3 linked regions of the Xenopus tropicalis genome follow. The protein of the gene in region 2 interacts with the protein of the main gene of each other region in a pairwise test. Links are inferred from orthologs where the notes say so. Each region holds a gene or a part of one and is shown on either strand. Other genes may lie near its edges. The genes, in order: tsga10, znf410 and sertad1.

Region 1 (7,319 bases), on a different chromosome or scaffold from region 2:
GTTGTCAGCTTATTGTCTTTTGTGTGGGACCCTCAGACAGGCCTGCCGACCGATATCTGGGCACAAATCAGCCAGATGTTGATAAAATTGTTTAGCCCGAGGGCTGGATAATCACATCAATCAACTGTTTAGCGACTTTGCCCCTGCATTGTTCAAGCCTGTAAGGCCCTGCATTGTTCACATCTTAGACTCAGACTGAAAGACCCAGCATTGTCCATGTCTGTAAGCCCCCACATTGTTCACACGTTAGACTCAGACCAATCAAGTCCTGACTGGTTAATTACGTGGTACTTCTAGGTTTCTCTGTCTCCTGCTCTACGCTGCCTGTGCCTGCCCTGCTCTACACTGCCTGTGTGTGCCATTCTCTGCCTGCCCTATCTTGCCTGTGCGTGCCATACTCTGCTTGCCTTATGCTGTCTGTGTCTGCCATACTCTGGCTGCCCAATGCTCTGTATGTGTGTCATACTCTGCATACCTTACGCTGCCTATATGTGGCTGCCATTTACCTTTTTTGGTGTGCTACCACCATTAATGAGGATACTGTCTTAAAATTTTGTGATAACATAGGTGTGGTTTAAAAAATGGGGATGGTCAACACTGGCTTATTGGCCCTTTATTGCATAGACCAGAAAAATTCCAGCCCTGTTATTGATGTTCGGGGAAGGATTCACTACTTACCTTTTGTCAAGCATAGCACTAAACTTTACTAGCAGGGTTACTACAGAGCATATGCTTCTTCTTTATACAAGTAAGAACTATTTTGGTGATTAGGATACCAATATGTGCCTATGTAGGAGGCATTCCTTAAGTAACATGTCTAGTACTATATGCTTGTTGAAGGATGTTGTACTATAGGCTGGTTGCATACAGTATGCACTGGTATATAGCTATATGATACATTTTATGATAATAGGCATGCATGTCTGTCAGTATGTTTATTAAATAAAAAAACTATAACATATGAGATGATTAATACAAGTATTTTTGTTATTTCTTGTATCCATTTGTTTTTGTTCTCACTAATTCAATATCACATTCAAACAATATGTTACATAAATGGACAATGATATTTCTAAGAACATAAGGACAGTCAGAATCTGAATATGTCTTTAATTTTTTGGCAATATAGATGAATTTGTTAGTTTATGGTTGCATACCTTTAACCGCTCCCTTAAACTATCTCGTTCTGTGGTCATTCTTCGTAAATCTGATGTTGCAATGTCACGTTCATTTTCCACACGCTGCAGTATGGCTTGTGCTGTTACACTGGATTTGGGAGTCTTAGGAGATCGTAGGAATTCTCTTCGAAGCTGTGTTATCTCCTGCTGTGCCTGATGTACAATGCTGCATGTTAAAATGCATTTTTTAACCAGTTAAAGGACGCCACTTTCCTGGAACTTTGCTTTTCTTTCAGCAATCCAGGACTGGATGGTATTCATCCCAGGGTACAAAAAAAAAGCTTAGCTCTATGATTGCCAAACATCTGTACTTAATTTTCTAGTATATATCTGGCATGGTGCCAAGAGATTGGCGAATTGCTAATGTGGTGCCATTTTTTAAGAGGGATCCCGTTCTCAACCTGAAAACTGTATTATGTGCAATAGTACATGAAGGAATAATGGCCTGGAACATAATATCTGTAGTTGGACAGAGAACTGACTGAAGGATAGATTACAAAGAGTGCTGATTTTCTAATTGGACCAGTGTCATCTTCTAACAGGGCCCAATGTTTGCATATTTTGAGATTTGTTATCAAACACTATTTTGGACTGATCTAGTTACACCTGGCTGCCCAGTTGAATAACTATGCTGTGCAGCTCATGGTTTGCAAATAAACCAAAACATATACTTAATTGCACCATTTGTTGGTCTGGTATTCCTAACTGACTTTAATGTTATCACTCGATAATAACCCTACACTTCCATCACAAGAAATGACCAGCTTGTGATTACAATATTGAAACATGTGTAACCAGCATTGCCAATCATCCAGTGCTGCTGTGAATATTATATAAAATGTGGGCAGTATAGCATATCTGCAATTCATTAACAGATGACCCTATTAAATGTACCTCATAAAATAGGTTTCATCAGATATCCAAGAATTATCATGATTTAAGTTTGTGAACACTAGAAGTGCACCCAGATGGCCTTTATTTATAAAGTTTAAATGCCAGTCAAATTTTCCTTGATCCGCAAAATTTAAAAACTGAACTGAGTTCAGCACCACCAATCATTCTACATCTTCATATATTATCTTACTAATCTTAACCTACTATAGAATGAAATGTAACCATACATATTTAATCAAGAAACCATTCAGCTGATTTCACTGAGAATTTTTTTAGTGCAGTATAAACATTCCTTCCTTTTTTAGTGCAGTATAAACATTTCCTTCTTCAGCAAAATAAAGGACCCTGAATTATAAAAGTTCTAATGGTGTCTTATTGTTCCAGGCATTACTTTTTTATAGTCATACACAGTAGTTACCCGATCGTAAAGCATGTTGGCTTTGTCCCGGTCTGATGTCAGTACTTTTACATTCGCTTGAATTTCTGCCATGTGACGCTCATATTTCTCTAGCATTGTTTGCAACTCATCTCGTTCCCGAAGGGTCTTCTTGAGTTCTGACTCTAACTGTAACAACTGGAATACATACAACAGAGGGTAAACTAGGAGCACAAAAGACAGGACTGAAATAAATACTAGTACAGGTATAGTATCCATTATCCTGAAACCCATTATCCAAAAAGCTCAGAATTATGGAAAGGCCATCTGCCATAGACTCCATTTTAGTTAAATAATTACAATATTTAAAAATGATTTCCCTTTTCTTTGTAATAATAAAACAGCACCTTGTACTTGATCCCAACCAATATATAATTAATCCTTTTTGGTGCAAAATCAATCCTATTGGGTTTAATGAATGTTCAAATGATTTTTTAGTAGACTTAACAATAATAGGTCTCATACCTGTATTACAAAATATGTCATGTAATGTATAATTGCTATAAGCTAAAATAAGACTGCATTCCCCCACACCATCTTATTGACTAGGGTGCAATAAGGATTTTGGGGTGGGAAAATTCCACCTATCATATCATATGTGAGAGACCAACATTAAAGGGTTTTACAAAAACACAGATAATGTTGTGTGTTTATTTGTTTTAAAACGTCTAGTTAAGCGAACTGTCAATGTGGTTGCTATAAGTTACAGCAGTATGGCAACCTTTGCCTTCCTGCACAAATTACTTTTACTGACTCTGCAAAAAATAGGTGCGCGCATGAAGCAAGCACAATGTTTTCTAAAAAGTTTTACAGGAAACATATTGGATAAATGGAAAACCCCTAAATTTGTAGGCAATTATGAATAATATATGGTGCTGGTTTCACTTTGGGCTAAATATTAATCCTATCTGTACAAATGGCCCCATTATTTGAGCTCCCTATAGACCCTTCTCTGTCCGGGGTGGGCATTTCCTAACGGTCCCTGCCAGAAGCACAGCAGGAGGGGGATAACCAATCACAGCCTTGCACTCACACAAGCAAAGACAGTCTTCAGTAGCCTATTAGGTCAGCCTAGCTGCTGATTGGTTCCTATCCTACAGTGCACTGTACCGAGGGCCGCCGGCTCCCCTGCACATCCAGAGAATTCAGCCAGCAGGAAGTGGAACAGATGGGCGGGGCTAGTGGGGTTTTGGTGGAATTTCTCAATAAATCAGTCCGAAACACAACTTTATTAGCCACAATCCTTCTATATCTAGAGGAGTATGATTCACTGGTACATTCTTAATTTTTATATGATATGTCTCCTTTAATATTTTGGATGGTCTCCAAAGGAAGCAATCTAATTCTTGTTATTTACAAATTAATACATAACAATGTATGTGGATAAGGGTTTTTAACATTGTTGCCAACCTGGGTATTGGTATTAGCTCGCTTGGGACTAAGACTCTGACGTCGCAGGGTTTTCCTCAGATTTTCTGCTTCCCTTTTATAGTGATCTCGTTCCTCTTCCAATGATTTGATGAAGGAGTCAAGTCTAGAAGGAGCCATAGCATTACTCTTCTCACATGCTAAGACTGTGTTCTTTTCTGTTAACAAGGAAAAATATTGTCCTCCACTTAAAAGATTAAAAAACCTTTAGGGTCAGTATTACCCCTTGTACAGCATGAGTGCAAGGGTTTGATTCTCCTTTAATATCCAAAGAAAGTGAATTGCACTGTCAAAACTAAATAAAAGGAAAAAGAGAAATACAATCTTTACAGCACCAGTTGCACGCTTCCATTCACCAAATAGGCGCAAAAAGATTAGAATCTAATTTGAAAATTAAAACATGATTTTCATTGTAATAACAAAATGAAATGAGAGGGAAAACAACAAAAAACACTTGAAAATCAGCAGAATTAAGGAAGTTATCATTTCACAGAGTGATTATTACTAAGGAGCCATGATCATCCAATTTATGTTAGAACCAAAAAAGCTTAAACAAAAAGACTGTGGAAGTCACAGGGTTACATTAGGCAATATAGCTGACTTCAATTAAATAATTACCATAGCTTGGTGGGTCTACATTAATACAAAATTAACAAACTAAGTTACTAAATGTAACTTATAATTCTCTAGGTTAATGAGAGTATCATATGTCAGAGAAAGGAGATTGGTAACAACTACTGAACAAAGAGAAACAATTACTAATTGCACCAAACTCAGTCCTCAAGTCTACAACTATTACAGATCTGTATGCCAAGCAATCATTCCACCTCCTACTTACTCCATCTTACTGCTATAGCCATAAACCAGGGGTAGGCCACTTGAAAGAAATGCACAAATGCTACCCAACAGACCTTTGTCCCTGCCTATGATTTAGTCTGGCTTGAATGTAGTCTTGCAAGAAGAAAATTAATTCAAAAATTGCCTCTATTAGCTTAGATTCCCATTGTAATTAGAATTAGCCATGTCCACACTTGACCTGATGTGCGTTTTTTCTGGCCCCTGAGGAGGCATTTGCTCACATATAAATAATGATGTCATACACAGCAGACAATAAAGCTCATAGGTGAACAGGGTGCCTTAAAAATACCTTAGAGAGCCACAATCGGACTGCAGGCCTCAAGTTGGACAGCCCTGATTTATACCAACAGCAATAGTTAGACATTGCTGCCATTGGTCAACGGGCCACAGTAAAAAGCTGTTACTCTACTCTTCGAATATCATATTCTCTGCCTCCCTTCAATCTCTTTAATTAATCTTCTCATAGCTTGCCACCAGAAATATAATATATAACTCTAGTGTCATTTCATAGGAAGTTACCTGATCTCTCGTGCTTTTCAATCTTTTTGCGTAGTCTGTTTTGATCATCTTGAAGCTGGTCTACGAGAACATTTAGGGTCCTGTTCTCATCCTGTTTTTCTTTGAGTGCAACTTCTGCATGCTCAAGTTGTTCTTTAGTAAGGCTTGCATCCTGAATTGCAAAATACCATTTCAGAACATCATCATACATCAGCTATGAACTATGCAAAATGAAGGATATCAAAATAATTGCAGAAACACAAATTAAAAGCAAATTTTCTTCTCCTCCTGATGTAACAAACTGCAAGTTTTCGAAGCATACAAAACAACAAAAACTTTTTATACTAACATCATCCAGCTAGAAAAAAGACAGAAGGGAAAGAAAATTAAATTACTATTCTATTGCTCCAATACAGTACTGCAAACATAATTAGTGTGTGATTAAAGCAATTCTGAAAACACAGGTATGGGACCTGTTAACAAGAATGCTCGAGACCTAAGTACTCTTTGGACTGCCAGTGGACACCCAATGGTGCCCCTGGAGTACTTCTGCTGTTTGATTTTCTTGATGTACCTCATGTATTCCTCCCGCTTGGTCATTAAGCTGTTTAGCTAGGATCTTGCCAACCTGTGCATCTAGTGATTTCTTTTTTCCTGACACCCTACCTGATTCCTTGTTTCTGAGACCCTATCTGATTCCTTGTTGCTGAGTCCCTGCCTGGTTTCTTTCCCCTTGCCTAGTTCCTGATCTCCAGTGCCTGTCCTTGCGGATCTCCTGGTTTTACCTTTGGCCTTTTCCTTGACTTTGTCTTGCCAGCTGTCTTATCTAGCCTTTAGGCTCTTAAAGGAAAAGTAACACTAACATTCTATCTATTCTACCCTGCACCAATAATTGCTCTATCCTGCACACCATTTATTATTTTGAATGCTTTATTAGAAAATACCTGCTAAAACTTGGCTTCCGGTCATTTGAAATAAGGTGATATGGCGAAGGAAGAAGCAGCATCCACTATGCAACGATCGATTGATCGAGCCTAGCCTGACTCTTTCCTACAGAAGGAAGGCTAGGCTCGATCAATCGATCGTGGCATAGTGGATGCTGCTCCTTCCTTCGCCGTATCACTTTATTTGAAATGACCGGAAGCCAAGTTTTAGCAGGTATTTTTTAATAAAGCATTCAAAATACTAAATGGTTTGCAGGATAGGGCAATTATTGGAGCAGGGTAGAATAGATTTTTTACTTAAAAAATTTTAGTGTTACTTTTCCTTTAACTGCTTGCCAGTCCACAGAGTCTCTCTGAGATATGACACTTGGGTTTTCCAGATAAGGGATCTTTTTGTAATTTGGATCTCCTTACCTTAACTACTAAAAAATAATGTAAACATTAATTAAACTGAATTGGTTCATTTTGCCACCAATAGGGATTAACTATATCTTAGTTGCCATCAAGTACAAGCTACTGTTTTACTATTACAGAGAAAAAGGAAATAATTTTTAAAAATTAGAATTATGTGCTTATCATGAAATCTATGGCAGATTGCCTTCCCATAATTTGTAACTTTTTTGGATAATAGGTTTCTGAAAAACGTGTCCTATACCTGTATATAAAATTTCACAGCTAGAAATGGTCTCTACAGACCTCTTTCACCACTGGAACTAAGTAGGTAAGTAATGTACTCACAGATGTAAGATTGCTGATGGTGTGCTCCAAATTTTCTATGGTTCTCTGGTGCTGGCGAATCTCATTCTGGGAAGAAAAAAGGATTAGTCAACAGACAGAAACCCCACTCTACCCACCAGTAGTGTGTGCTGTAGAGTAACATGCAAATTGTGTATTTAACTATATATAAGGCCAAACCATTTAAGTAAAAGTATATTATTGACAAAATGCATTTTTTACTGGACAGAACAGTGATACAGCTGTTAGAAGTACTGCAATAGGTCCCAGTGTGATTCTGACCAGCATACTGTCTGTACAAAGTGTGTATGTTCTCCCGTTGCTTGTGCAGGGTTTCTCTCCCACTTC
Region 2 (7,054 bases):
TTATACACCTAGGTGGGAATTTTCTTTGTACTGATTTAAAAGCATGGTATTAATTGTGAGTTGCATTTCACCCTGCAAAATCAGCAGCATCAATCATTTTAAAATTTCTAAACTAACAAACAGTGTAATAAAGTTCAGTGGTGTAACTAAGCCCTACAGGAGATGTTTAAGTATCCTATCCTCTCAAAGATTAAAATTATACTGTTTTTTTGTCTGCGCTATTAAAACCAAGCATCAACTCTCCACTATTTCCTCCTTTTTAGAGAAATGCAGTGAAGAAGGTAGAGCAGAAATTTAAATGCACATTGCAAGAGGCTGGGATAACAGAGGAGTTTGTGCAACATAAAGGAGGAGTCCATGAAAATGCAACTAAAAAGGAATCAATCCAAGAAGAAACCTGGGAGGAACACTAGCAGGTAACTGCCAAATACTTCATATATTATTTCCAGAACTAGGTTTTCATGCTAATTATGTTGCATTAGTCTCATAGGGGAATGCAATTAAAGCAACAACAAAAAAATACGTTTTTTAAAGTCAAAATATTCAAATATAATGTACTGTTGCCCTGCAGTGGTAAAAGTTTATATAAAGAAGTTGCTGTATAGCCAAGGGGGCAGCCATTCAAGCTGTAGAAAAGGCAAAGGTTATATATCAGCTATTAGAGAATCTCTGAATACAATAGTGTTTTACATAGCTTATGCATTATCTGTAATGTAACCTGTGCAATTTAGCATTTAGCCCTATTTCAGTTTGAATAGCTACCCCAATGGCTACACAGCAGCCTATTTATATAAACTATAGAAGTGTTTCTGAAGCAAACACAACAGTTTTACCAGTGCAGGGCAACAGTACATAAGATTTAATTACTTTGATACATTTTTGGTATAACTGTTCCTTAAATGTTGTTAGATTTATAAGTCTTGATTTATTCATATTGTTTGATGCATTTCCTTATGTAAGTAATGAACTTATATCACATTGCATATATATATGCTTTTGAATAAATACTTCTCTTTTCTAACCAATTGTTTATATTTTTTACAGTTAGAATCAAACTCTATAACTAGCCAATAAATTATCCTCTTTCTGAATTGCATATGAGATGCCAGTACTTACTGATGTGATTCATTAATAATTATTGTTGTTACAGAATTGCTGACTGCAGAGCTTGACTGTTTAAAAAATTCAGCAGAAAGATGAAATTCATTAAGAAGTGGTTTGCTGTTTAGGAATTCATATTTGTGAACTTATCTATATTGTTAAAAATGCATTAATTAACTACATGTTGCTGACACAAGTAATTTACTATAAAGTTAGAGGTTGTTCTAAAGCAGTGTCTTGTACTTTTTTGGGGTTCAGGCCCCAGTTTGAGAATCAACAACTTGTCAAGGCTCCCGCCAAATAGATAACTGGCTGGTTATCAGGAAGATACATATTAAATAGGCTGTTGAGGACAGACTATGCATAGGAAGATAAGACAGCAACTTGGTCTGAAGGGCCTGAATCAGCCTATGTATGGCTTAAGACTGCAATGGAAAAATCGTCTGGTCTTTTTACATCAAAAAGGAAAAATCGTCTGGTCTTTTTACATCAAAAAACAAACAGTTACAGCAAACTGAAGCCAAACTAAATCCGAATTAACATATGCTAATTAGGTTACGGAAATTTCCAACTTCAGTGTTTATATGACAAAAAGTCACGTGATTTTTAGGATTCGGTTTGGCCAGGAAAATGGCCATTATATAATTACACATCAGAGAATATAGTCTTTTTGTGCCTACTGAATTGGCTTTCATTTTTTTTTTTTAAATATTCTCTAACTGATCATATCCCTTGGACACTATTAGCCACAAAACTGTTACAAGTGAATACCCCTTCCCACTTCTATCCTGAGATATTCAATTCACATGTAATTTCACACTATATAGGTATACCAGAAACAAAGCTCTCAGGGTTTTACTAAATATCAATAAACCGATTAACTAAATCTGCAGTTTAACAGTTTATTTTTCATTGTGCAGTTTAATGAGCCCTTCTATTGGATGGTTTGCAGTTTATGAATCTGAATATAAATTAAAGGAGAAGGTGTGATTGCACAGTTTGGGAGCAGGGCCCTGTGTGTGCAACCAAAAGTTTACACACAAAACTATGTCCTTGTACTTTAGAAATAGTACCAACTGAGGCAAAACCCAAAGACGAAAATCCAAGCTGGAAACTTATTTCAGCCACAGAATCAACTTGCACTGAATGATAAGTACCATGCTTTTTCTGCTTCAGGGTCTTATTTTCATATAATCCAGGCTCGTTTTTCCACATTGTCTCTGCAGGCAAGTTCATTTTTTGCCAATGAAACATAATTTGCTTATACTTTGTTCTTAAGAGACGGAATACTTGTAATCCCACAAAGACCAACAAAAATGCTTGTAATGAACAAAAGTCGTCTAAATAAATGGGTTCAGTTCAACAAAATGGACACATCCTCTTCATATGACTGTCTTTCCGATCCCACAGAAAGCAGATGGGAATGTTGCAGAGTCTCTTGCACAGTGTGTGTACAGTGGGATGAGGTACTTTGGTCTGTAGAACAACAAAACCATGAACATAAACAGTTAAAATCCTTGGATCATTGTCACTTTATGGCCTCCAACAGGCCTAATAAAGCACATGTCTAGGCATCTTTCAGTAGCCCCTCTGGAGTCCACCAGAACATTCATATTCCCAGTGTGGGCTGTTACAGGTATAGCATGTTGTCATATATGAAACAATATTCACTGAATGGTCAATAAGAAATAACCCTTAAAGGACATGTAATCCCCACACACAAAAATTTAATCAGTGAACAGCCTCTTTGAAATATTTCAATACCTGCCACACTGGTTGTCCAGATGCTAATAGTAAGGCTACAACATCCCTTAATCACTTAGATTTCCTTCTCCTCCTGTAACCCACTCAGCCCCATCCCTCAGGAATTTGCTTTGGCTGTTGGCTTGTGGGCATGCTCAGTTGTTCTCAGCTCAGATTACCAAACGCCCTCCAGTCTAGCAGTCAGTAAAGAGATGGCATTGATGGTTCCCATAGAAACTCAGCTCTAGCTGTCTGCTTCAATTTTTTTCTCCTAACTTCCTCTCCTGAGCTCAGCTCAAACAAAGCAGAACTTTTATCAGACAGTTCAGCCTGTGTGAGCCTGTATTCTTGATGAAAAATATGCTGAATAAGGGTCTGTGAGTGTGTGTGTGTATGCTGTTTGAGATTTAAATGTATCTAATGTATCAGAGGAAAAACGGCAGGGGGATATATGCAGTACAAATAATGCCATTAAGGCGGGGGAGATATTTCCTATATTGTATTAAATAGATCAGTACCTTTTATATTTTTCACTGTTTAATAATAGTAATACAATGCTTGTATTTGATTTAAACCATAGTACCTTTAATTTATCATGGAACTCATAATTTCTTTAACACGTTTCAACTAAAATGTGAGATCAGAAGTGATACGATATTTGTTATTAGAGAGTTATAAAGCACAAAGTGATGTCTACCCTAAAATACACCACTCATTCTGCTGTTCATTGGTGGAACGCTACACAAAAAAAATACTAAGTTCCCTAATTTCTGCCACAATAGCAGCAATGCAATCAGATACAAATTAGATGCCATATTCTTATCCTTGATTTATACTGCCTGTTTAAAACCTTTCCCTACAGTAATACTCGGATGGCTAAAAATAATAAAAAAGGACAAGCCCTGTTTTCAACGCATCCACTTACCATCAATGCTCCTCGAGTGATGTTTTCTTAGATGGGCATTTCTGCTCCCACTCTGAGAGAAAGTTTTACCACACACAGGGCACTGATGAGATTTTACCCCTGAAAAACAAGATTAAGATCTTAAACACAAGAATCAATGCTGCAATACTGGATGCTAAAGAAAATAAATTAAGGTACCTGAATGGACAACCTGGTGTTTCCGAAGACTTGAATATTCTGCAAAAGAGCGTCCACACCCCTCCATCTCACAGAGAAATGGTTTCTCTCCTGCAGAAACATATGTGCAGGGGTTAAAAAAAATATTTCCTTATATCTATTCCAGGTCTGTAGAAACAGGCACACACACCAGTATGGATACGGAGGTGATTCTTCAGGTTCCCTGCTGTGGTGAACTGTTTCCCGCAGCCTGGCTCTGAACAAAGGAAAGGCTTTTCCCCATTGTGAGTGCGCATGTGAACTTTCAGTCTTTGTAAGACATAGAATCTCTTCCCACAACCTTCTGACGGGCAAGCAAAAGAACGGTCATTTCTAAAAATTAAAAAAGAAGCACAAGCAAAGTTGGATACATTTCTTTTAACAGCCATAACATAATCACTGGCAAATATAACCACCAGTACATGGTAGTGCAATGGTAAACACTGCTGCCTTGCCTGTAGTACTGGGTTCAGTGTCAGGAAGGGCACTATCTACTAGGATTTTGTATGTTCTCCCTGTGCTTGCATGAGTTTCTAATAAAATTGTCCATAATGTGTGTAAAGTTGATGGGTACCTTGGACTGTAAGTACCACTGGGGCAGAGACTACAGAGATTATATATCATTCATTTTAAAGTATGCAGGCTACACAGGCAATACATGAATAATTCATAATAATTAGAATAATAACCAGCCCTTTGGCTGCCCGGTGTGGGTATGGAGATACAAGAAAAACAATTCAACTGGTCCATCTCACTCGCTACATTACCAAGTGACTCTATATTCAAGGTAGCCTAGTGTCATAACAGGTACTGCGGAAATTTGTAGCACATCTACCAATAAGTATATAGAAATCCTCTTATTTTAAGTTACTGACAATAATTCCACCTCATTCTGTGTCACAGTGCTTGCCTGACAGGATTACTAATCCTCCAACAAGAATTCACTACTTCCTTTTTACCACAGTGTGTAGCCCCCTGTTTAAAAAGTTTGAGGACCCCTGTTTTAAATTATGAGTTACTCTTTTGGCACACTCAATGCCACAGCTTACAGCATTCTATTGTTCATACAGTCTGCCCTCTAAGGCTTTGGAGGAGTGGGTTGCGGGGTAAAGCCTGGACACTGGACAGCAAAGGGGAACTTAAAACCTCAACATTTTAAAACTTTTATCCTTCACCAAGAGGGGGAAGATTACCTTACTACATTATTTTGATTGCATTTATACTTGAAGTAGCATGTCTTTGAGAAATACCATAGAAACAACCCACCTATGAGTTTTCAGGTGGTAACGGAGGTGTGTGGGATACACAAAAGACCTGTCACAGCCTTGGAAAGAGCAATGCAGTCGTTTCTCTCGAGGGGACTGGTTTGGTGGAGGAAGGGAAGTTCGTGACTCTGTTTCTGTAAAACTGCTCAGAGCTGTTTCTCCTAGAACAATAAGAGCAAATAAAATAACTAATTCTATATAACAAAAAATAGAAGCAATCTTTTGTTAATGTTTCCATCTGTTTTCAGACTTGCTGAGGATTATGGTTAGTAATTTACTGAACCTAGCTGTGTATCACCATCAATGACTTGATTCAGGATGAATGCAACCATCTCAGTGAATTGCTTACTAAACATGATCTGTGCAAATAAGTGTGTGTAAGCATACCTGCCCTTCATTTGCCCAGTAAAAGGGGATTTTCTTACTGGTAAACCCTTTCTCTTAGGTCCATACTGTCAGTGCAGAGGTATAAGAAGCTATAAAGTTATTGTTTTTTTTGTCCTGCCTTCAGGGGTGTACAGGTTTAACCCCATACATTTGCACTGACAGGACAGGCAGCCTACAGAAAGGATATTACCACTTACCTCTTTTCAAGTAGGTAGAAATTGCTGCAACTACATTAACTTCCAAATAAGTTTGTATAAACATAAACCCAGAAATAACATAAAATACATTTTGCCTGAGAAAATAAAGGCCATGGGTCATTTTGCACTCTATTAGGCTGATAACACACCAGGAGTGCTCCAGGACATTTTTGAAAACTACAGATTTAACAAACTATACCTAAGTGTAACACTAGAATAACAAGGGACAAAATATGCAAATGCCATTTCTGTAAAGGTTATAAATCTATTTCCCCTTTATAAGTAGATTTTGAAATGTTTTTTGTAACAAAAATCCCATACCAACACTACTTGTCTTGACACTTTTTGCCAGTTGTGCCCGTGTGGCAGCAATTAGACTATCGTGGGCCAACTCCTGTACCCGTAAGTACCAGGGTGTATTACTGTCTGTGCAGTCATTGGAAAGGAAATCATTTCCAGAATCTTCAGCCTCATCCTGGACAAAAACAAGATGTTCTGACGGAGAAGTCAAGCCTAAAGGAAAATAAGTCATGCATTACAACTAGTATCAGCATCTCACTACAGCATTCTATACATACAAACATATTATATTTAGGGATGCAACAAATCCAGGATTCGGTTTGGCATTCGGCCAGGATTCGGTTTTGGCCAAACTGAATCCTAATTAGCATAAGTTAGCATATGCCAATTAGCATTCAGAAGAGGTAAATGTTAGGGGGGAAAAATTTCACTTTGTAACCCTTCCCAATCCTAATTAGCATATGCTAATTAGGATTTGGTTCGGTATTCGGCTGAATCTGTCAGAGTGGGTTTGGCCCGAACCCAAAAAAGTGGGTTCGGTGCATCCATAACATTATTATATTAATAGTTAAACAGAATCCGACTTGCACTGCTGAAAGAATCAAGAAGGAAAGAGGAGTGTGAAAATGAAATCACTTGTCCCTGCAGACATTTGCAAAACTGCCTGTCAGTGAATTACTTTCCCCGATACCGTCAATTCAATAATATTAACTAATATTCCACTGCATGTAAAATACTGTACCCCAGACTACTCGTATTTGATTTATAATTGAAATTTATAGGCATAAACACCCTCATAAAGATTTTTTAGCTGAAAATGTTGGTCAAGTATATTTCATTTTAATTTAAGCTAGTCTGTATGTAATGGAATTGTGTGCTTGATTTCTATGAATTTTAAAAACTAAACATACCTTCACAGCTGCACGGATAGGAAGCTGTGG
Region 3 (6,521 bases), about 3.6 Mb from region 2:
TGTCCTATGAAGAATTCGAAGCACGTCTGTGTGTCTCCAGCCTTTGGTAGGGAGAACAAGCCAGCACCACGCCTCTGCCTCAGCTCTCTGAACCCATAAAAGGCATGCAGTGACATCCTGAGTGCAGGGTGGGGGAGGACTCTCTCCTACACGTTTGAAAACCAACAGCAGGAAGCAGGCAGCGCACGGACAGTGTCTTGTTCTTTTCCTTTACTCTAACTCATGTCAGCTGGGAGGGGTGGGGGGAATGAAGCAGTCTTCCTACAGAATAGCAGCCTTTTCCCATTTCACGGTACTGTGTTTCCCATCATAGAAAACCCCAAAGGTTAAGCTACGGTACAGACAAGGGTGCAAGAGCACCTATTTCATATCTTAGGGGTGTAAATAAAAGCCCCTGTGCTTCACAGTAAAAAAACAAAAAAAAAAACACTCACATTATAATACAATTTCTCCCAGAGCCACTGGGTCTTCTATTTATTGTTACTCCATGGCCAGTGCTCCATTTAACTTTGTGCTCAGGAAAGACATCTCCCTACTGGCTTTCAGGCACCCAATAAATAGATTTTGTTTCCTTCTAATCTAGGCCTTCATTAAACTAAATGTCTAATTTTGTCAGAGCTTATCATATATGATATAAGTATATATTATACAGAGTTGTCAACTTTTAAATAACAACATGCAGGGGATTTTGTGGTGTGCTTGATTGCTCCACCAAAAGTTTTCTGGATGCCTGGAAATGACATCACATGCCCGCGCAAATTATGCTTTGAAGCCAAAAATTGTTACCCGCGCATGCCCAACTGCTTCTAATGACATCGATGAATGTTTACTGCGCACGCACACCCAGAATTTAACGAGGCACACGGGAGATTCAGCAAAAATCCAGATCATATAGAACATTAAATACCATATTCTACCATATTCTACTGTTTGCCTCAATTTTGCCAATACGTGTATCATTTTTCTATTTGAGATTCATGACAAGGAAGTTTAAGGTAATCTTCACAGAAACTCGTTACAATAACTAAATCCCCTCTGTTGCTTAGCATGTACAGGCATATTTTTACAGGTATGGAAAAAAAAAATATACATGCATACATACAACAACAGTATACAAGTACATACTTTTTCTGGCTTAAGTATATTACAGGAATTGCCAACATACAGTACACGTATGGGACCTGTTGGGACCTGGGGTTTTCCAGAAAGAGGGTCTTTTGCATTCTGCAGTTTGGATCTACATGGATCTGTAGAACAGATCCCATAATTGCATCAGAGAAATGAAAGATAACTCTCCAGACAGCACAGAGAAGAGCAACATTTAATCTGTGCATTGCAACTCTACAGTAAACATTTAGCATATTGGAGGCTATTGGAACATGGGCAGGTGTTCCTGCTGCTCATTTGTTAAAACAGGTCTTCGAACAAGAGAATATACAATATTCTGGAAAAAAGTGCAACCTTCATTTGATATTAGAAGGGGAATGTTACTAAAAAGATAAATTCATAGGAAATCCCTTACTAAAGAGCTAGAAAGCAAGCTGCTTGTAACATGTCCATGTTCCATGTCACGTCCATATCCCCAATCCAAACTTTTCCATAGATATTAAATGTAAACTGTTACATATATCCCAGAATTACCTCCTGTAAATAAGAGTTTCCACCTTTGTTCTCTCCTTGGCAAGCAAAACACCAAAAACCAGCTATGAAACCTTTTTTTATTTTGATCATAAATATTCACAAAGGATAAATATGAATCCAATCCACAAATTAATATTAGTTAGAAAATCAATATATTGGCCACAAAATGGCAATAAATACAATCTGCAGATTTTGAAGCTTTCAGATTTAAATATTGACTGTAATAAACAGCCCTTTAAATATCTTAAAATACCCTGAGCCCTGTTACCTTTCAGGGAATAATTTATCTGTAGTTACCATTCAGTTCAGAAAACTTTTATACATACAGAATACATATTTGCATAAATAAGGTTAAACAAGGTCTGGCCTGGTGTGCAGAAAACATCTGTTTGCCAGCTGTACAGGAGGAAAAAAAAGCTTTAACGGCATGTTTTAGTAACTACAAAATTGGTTATCAGGAATTCATCAATAAAATTACTCAGAGAATACAAAGCTGAGAATACAAATGCAATAAAACACCTTTTAGATGTATGATCTAAAACTCAGTACTGCCATACCTTCAGAAAATGTAGTATATTATGTATGATGGATACAACTTTTCTTTCACAAATCTGACAGGTTCTACTAGAACAGCTGTAATTAATATGGCTTGATAACCTTGCATTTTCATACATACAATTCTGCATCCCAGATGTACCAAAGATGCCAGTTGCCTGCGCGATTTGTGTTTGGGCATTCTCCGTTTGCAAGCAAGAAAAGTGAGGTTAGCTGTCATTTTTGAAACACTCTTCAAGGGCATACGTCCATGATATGTTCTAATTTTAGAAAAAATATCTGATTTCTGTATATCTTATTTACTCACATATTTTATAAAAAAAATAAACCTAAAGCTTACATTTTCTAAATTAGTTCTGTTTGTAAAATACTTTTTTAAAGGGACACTACAGTGATCCAAACTTGTATGGCATTAGCTCCTTCATAATATAAAATAAGTTAACAGAAAATTGTAGGCTGGGAAAATGGCGCAAAAGATTTGTCAAGTTATTATGGGATGAGGAGAAAAACTGGTCAGGGTTTATTTCAGACTCCACTTTAGCACCCCCAAAATAACCAAACCAAACTGGAGCATTTCCATCCAGTGAAGGGGAAGATGTACATTACTGCCTAATGTATCAACTGATTTAAATAATGTTAAACTTCCACATACTGAATTGCACTGGCCTTGTGCCGAAAGAAAATTACATGCCTTTCTTTAGATAATAAACCACAATCGTTTAGGAAATTCTTCTACATTAAAAATATGTTAATATTTTACTTCCCTGAAAGTTGCATTTTGCTGGCTATAAATATAAAGCCTTCAGACTATGAGATCAGTTTATTAGGAAATAAATTAATGTCCATTGTGCACATTATTTACAGTAGTGTCTTGTTGCAAGATATTTCATTGAGTCCTGAAAGAACCTGCAGAGGTTGTTAGCAGTTCTTGGCTCTCACCAAAAACATCCATTAGATAGTCCCATTCACTAAGTGCTAGAACAGTGCTTTCACCATCCTTATCTTCAATATCACCTACATTTGAAAATGTTTTAAAGTTTAAAAGATTATTACTCGCCCAAGGATCACTGTCATACATTGAGGTATCAATGTCTTCAAATATGTCCTCTAGGTTGTCCCCCAAAAGGTATGGTGAAGAACTTAAAAAGCTGGACGATGCCAGTTTCATCATATCCTCTGTACTCACTGAAACTGGGTTGACTTTAGGGGCACATAGCTGGTCATCTTCAACCTGTGGAAGAGGTGGGCTGCTCAGTCCATCAAAGTTATTTAAGTCCTCGAGTATGGTAGAAATGGAAGAATATAAGGAGGCATCCATGCTGGAAAGGAGTGGATCTTCTGTGTTTTCAAGGGCTGGCTTCTTGTTCTCAGGTCCCGCTGCAGGAGAACACTCTTTTCTGCACTCCTCAGAGATTTTCCACGTACCTGGAGCACATGGCTCCACCTGCAAGTTGCCCTGAAGACGTCGTAGCGTGTTAGCCACCAACACAAGATGCCTCAGATCAGGCTCTACATGGTGAAGACTACGGTGAAGTTTCACCAGAGAGATGTTCATTAAACAGTGAGACTGGATGGCAGGGAATGAACATGGACACTCCCCTTCTAACACAGGATCAGGGTTGCTCCCCATCCCTTCATCCACCTCCGAATGTTTTCGTTTAATCCCTTTCGCCAACATGGATCTAATAAAAAAAGAAAGGAATATGTAAGATATATCTTGCAATAAACGTAGTAGTGCTCACTAAAGATAACTGTGCCATTTTGCATACATTATATTCAGACTGCTTTAGTACCAGCATATTTACAAAGCAGGTGTCAGTTCAGGGGACATCCTTTGAGGTGTGACATGCTTCTTCCAGTAGCAAAAAGTGAAGGGGATTTAAGAAAGCCAAACTGATGCATGAGTACTTAAGATATAAGATATTATAATAAACAGCAGAACCAATCACTTACAGGTCTTAATGTGGAAAAACAAAATTATTTTTTATTCAACATTTCAGCTCAAGCTTGGTTCTTCATCAGGACCAATTACATAAAGATTGGATCAATTAGTAGGAAGTTAAGGCCTAATTGTGGCTCACAGGTCTATCTGACAAGATCTGCAGGTCCCAATTTTTCAAATTTATAAAACAATGGTATTTGCAGTTTTTTAATAGAAATGTAGTCCCTAAGGTTATCCATCTATTTAGTATTCCGTCTTCCTTACTGTGTGCTTACCAGAACCAGTGTGATTTTTTTTTCAACTACCATGGGTACTTATATAGAGAGTAGGTCTATGTTTTGAAACCTACTATTAACGGGCCCATGAAAATTTAGTGTGCACAGGCACCCCTGTAGGACTAGCAATTTTTGCAACATGTTCACATATTTATTTGTCCATTTCATATTATTTAGCCCTAATGGTATTCCAGACACAATTTACAATTACACAATTTACACAATTATGCAATTTACAAAGGCACTTGGGCCACCTGTGATACATGATGAGGATACCTTTAGAATAACTTAATTTTTTATAATCCTGTTTCTCAACCTTGTATACCCAGATATGACTGGATTACAACTTCCAGCATTAACGTATAATCAATGGTAGAGGCATAGAGAAAAAATGTATACATACCGAAATTTTATTTTTCTTTAGTCCGAAAGGCAGCACATACACCAAAGGGTTTAGTCCCACTCCCACCCTTGTAGCACAGGAAAAAGACAGCCAATACAATTAATCAGAGATGATTTATGAGATTTGGGAGGGAAATACTTGTGCTGCCTTTTGGACTAGAAAGAAAAAGGAAATTTTGGTAAGCACAAATATTTTCTTTTCCTTAGCCCTTCAGGCAGCACATACACCAATTGGATCTAGCATGTAGACAGAAGGATGGGGGGACTTAAAGAACTGCCTCTAAAACTCAGCCTCTAACTGGTTTGAGACCTTTATCGAAATCATCCTGTAAAAACCGAAGGATTGCAGAAACTGGACTGGATATCTCTTTTAGAACACCACTGTTTAATAACTTTCCAAACTTTATTGTACACTTTTGATGTAGATACTTTCTGTGAATGAAATAAAGTTTGAATCACTTCGTGAGAAAGACCATGATCTGTCAAATTTTCTTTATCAAATACCATGCTGCCAGGTTCCACCTGGCCTCTGTGGAAGCTGCCAGTATCTCCCTTTGGATAGGACCATAAATTTCGTGTACTGATGCTTGATCCTGTCTGATCTTCCTCACCAGTCTCTGAACCATCGCAATCAGGGGAAACACATATGCTATTCTGAACTTCCAGAGAACTGACATGGCGTCCAGAAAATCTGGGTTGTCCATCTTTGACAGAAAACAAAATATGTCCACCTTTCTGTTGAGTCTGGGCGCCATCAAGTCGACTTGGGGATAACCCCAAATTTACGCAATCTGATGAAACACTTGGGAATTCAATTCCCATTCCTTCTGGTTCAATTGCCTTCTGCTGAGGAGATCCGCCAGTTGATTTTCCGTACCTTTTATATGTACTGCCCTTAGAAGAATTATATTTTGTTCTGCCCAGAACATTATTTTCTGACACTCTCTCATTAACAGCGGAGCTCTTGTCCCCCCCCTTGTGGATTTATGTGAAAGGTTTATTTTTTTATGCCAGATCCGCTGACCAAGCTTTCAGCCTCAATGCCCTTCTTCCAGATGTCAAAAGTGCCATAGAACTGGTACCTAACGACTCCACCGCCATGTCATATAAAAATCAGTGGTAAACTTAATAGGATATATCATGTCCAGAAGATCATCCCTGGAAGTGCCCAAATCTTCTAAGATATGCAACCAATACTTTAGAGATATTGAAATTGATATAGCGGCCAAAGAAGGCTTACCGATGTTTGCACCCGCCACTTAAGATCTCCGAAATAAGAATACTTCTTCCTTCTGTTTAACTGAAGAAGAAGATAATTCCCTTACTTCCATTTCTGAGTCCACTTGAGACCCAGGCTGTTCTGACATGGTTTTAGACTTAGTAAAGACTTCAAAGGACTTCTCTATAACACCTTTGAACCATGACATAAATTCTTCAGACTTGTCTGAAACCGAACTGGTACATTAACTACAAACTGAAGCTGTACATTCCTCTATGAGGGGTCGTTTAAAGTTGTAGCACGTTCTGTGCTTAGCTTTCCTTTTTCTTTTACCTTCAGACATTAAACAAGAAAGAGAAAAAGGAAAGTCAGTTTGACCCAAGTATACACAAGGAATGCAGTCTGCTGTCATAAGGAATACCGTAGCAGCCTTACCAACAGACGAGCAGCCACAGCACTACAGGAGAGGCAATAGAAAACTGGCTAA

The links.
Region 1: the proteins of znf410 (region 2) and tsga10 interact in binary tests that used the Homo sapiens proteins (3 or more experiments, as listed by UniProt). The two-hybrid records come from large-scale screens. The link is inferred for Xenopus tropicalis from reciprocal best matches to the Homo sapiens genes ZNF410 and TSGA10.
Region 3: the proteins of znf410 (region 2) and sertad1 interact in binary tests that used the Homo sapiens proteins (3 or more experiments, as listed by UniProt). The two-hybrid records come from large-scale screens. The link is inferred for Xenopus tropicalis from reciprocal best matches to the Homo sapiens genes ZNF410 and SERTAD1.

The regions. Positions count from the first base shown.
Region 1 is NC_030678.2:112,846,146-112,853,464, reverse strand, and holds part of tsga10 (testis-specific gene 10 protein), read right to left. Parts: intron 7,041-7,319; coding exon 6,975-7,040; intron 5,465-6,974; coding exon 5,314-5,464; intron 4,095-5,313; coding exon 3,919-4,094; intron 2,647-3,918; coding exon 2,491-2,646; intron 1,332-2,490; coding exon 1,158-1,331; intron 1-1,157. UniProt on the Homo sapiens protein: Plays a role in spermatogenesis. When overexpressed, prevents nuclear localization of HIF1A.
Region 2 is NC_030684.2:81,885,984-81,893,037, reverse strand, and holds the end of znf410 (zinc finger protein 410), read right to left. Parts: intron 6,327-7,054; coding exon 6,135-6,326; intron 5,391-6,134; coding exon 5,231-5,390; intron 4,298-5,230; coding exon 4,116-4,297; intron 4,037-4,115; coding exon 3,947-4,036; intron 3,869-3,946; coding exon 3,770-3,868; intron 2,578-3,769; coding exon 2,456-2,577; 3' UTR 1,990-2,455; downstream 1-1,989. Other genes in the region: protein FAM161B, read left to right, coding at 264-413. UniProt on the Homo sapiens protein: Transcription factor that binds to the sequence motif 5'-CATCCCATAATA-3', and is specifically required to silence expression of fetal hemoglobin in adult erythroid cells.
Region 3 is NC_030684.2:78,239,903-78,246,423, reverse strand, and holds the end of sertad1 (SERTA domain-containing protein 1), read right to left. Parts: intron 6,409-6,521; exon of another isoform or gene 4,817-6,408; intron 3,879-4,816; 5' UTR 3,875-3,878; coding exon 3,083-3,874; 3' UTR 1,700-3,082; downstream 1-1,699. UniProt on the Homo sapiens protein: Acts at E2F-responsive promoters as coregulator to integrate signals provided by PHD- and/or bromodomain-containing transcription factors. Stimulates E2F1/TFDP1 transcriptional activity.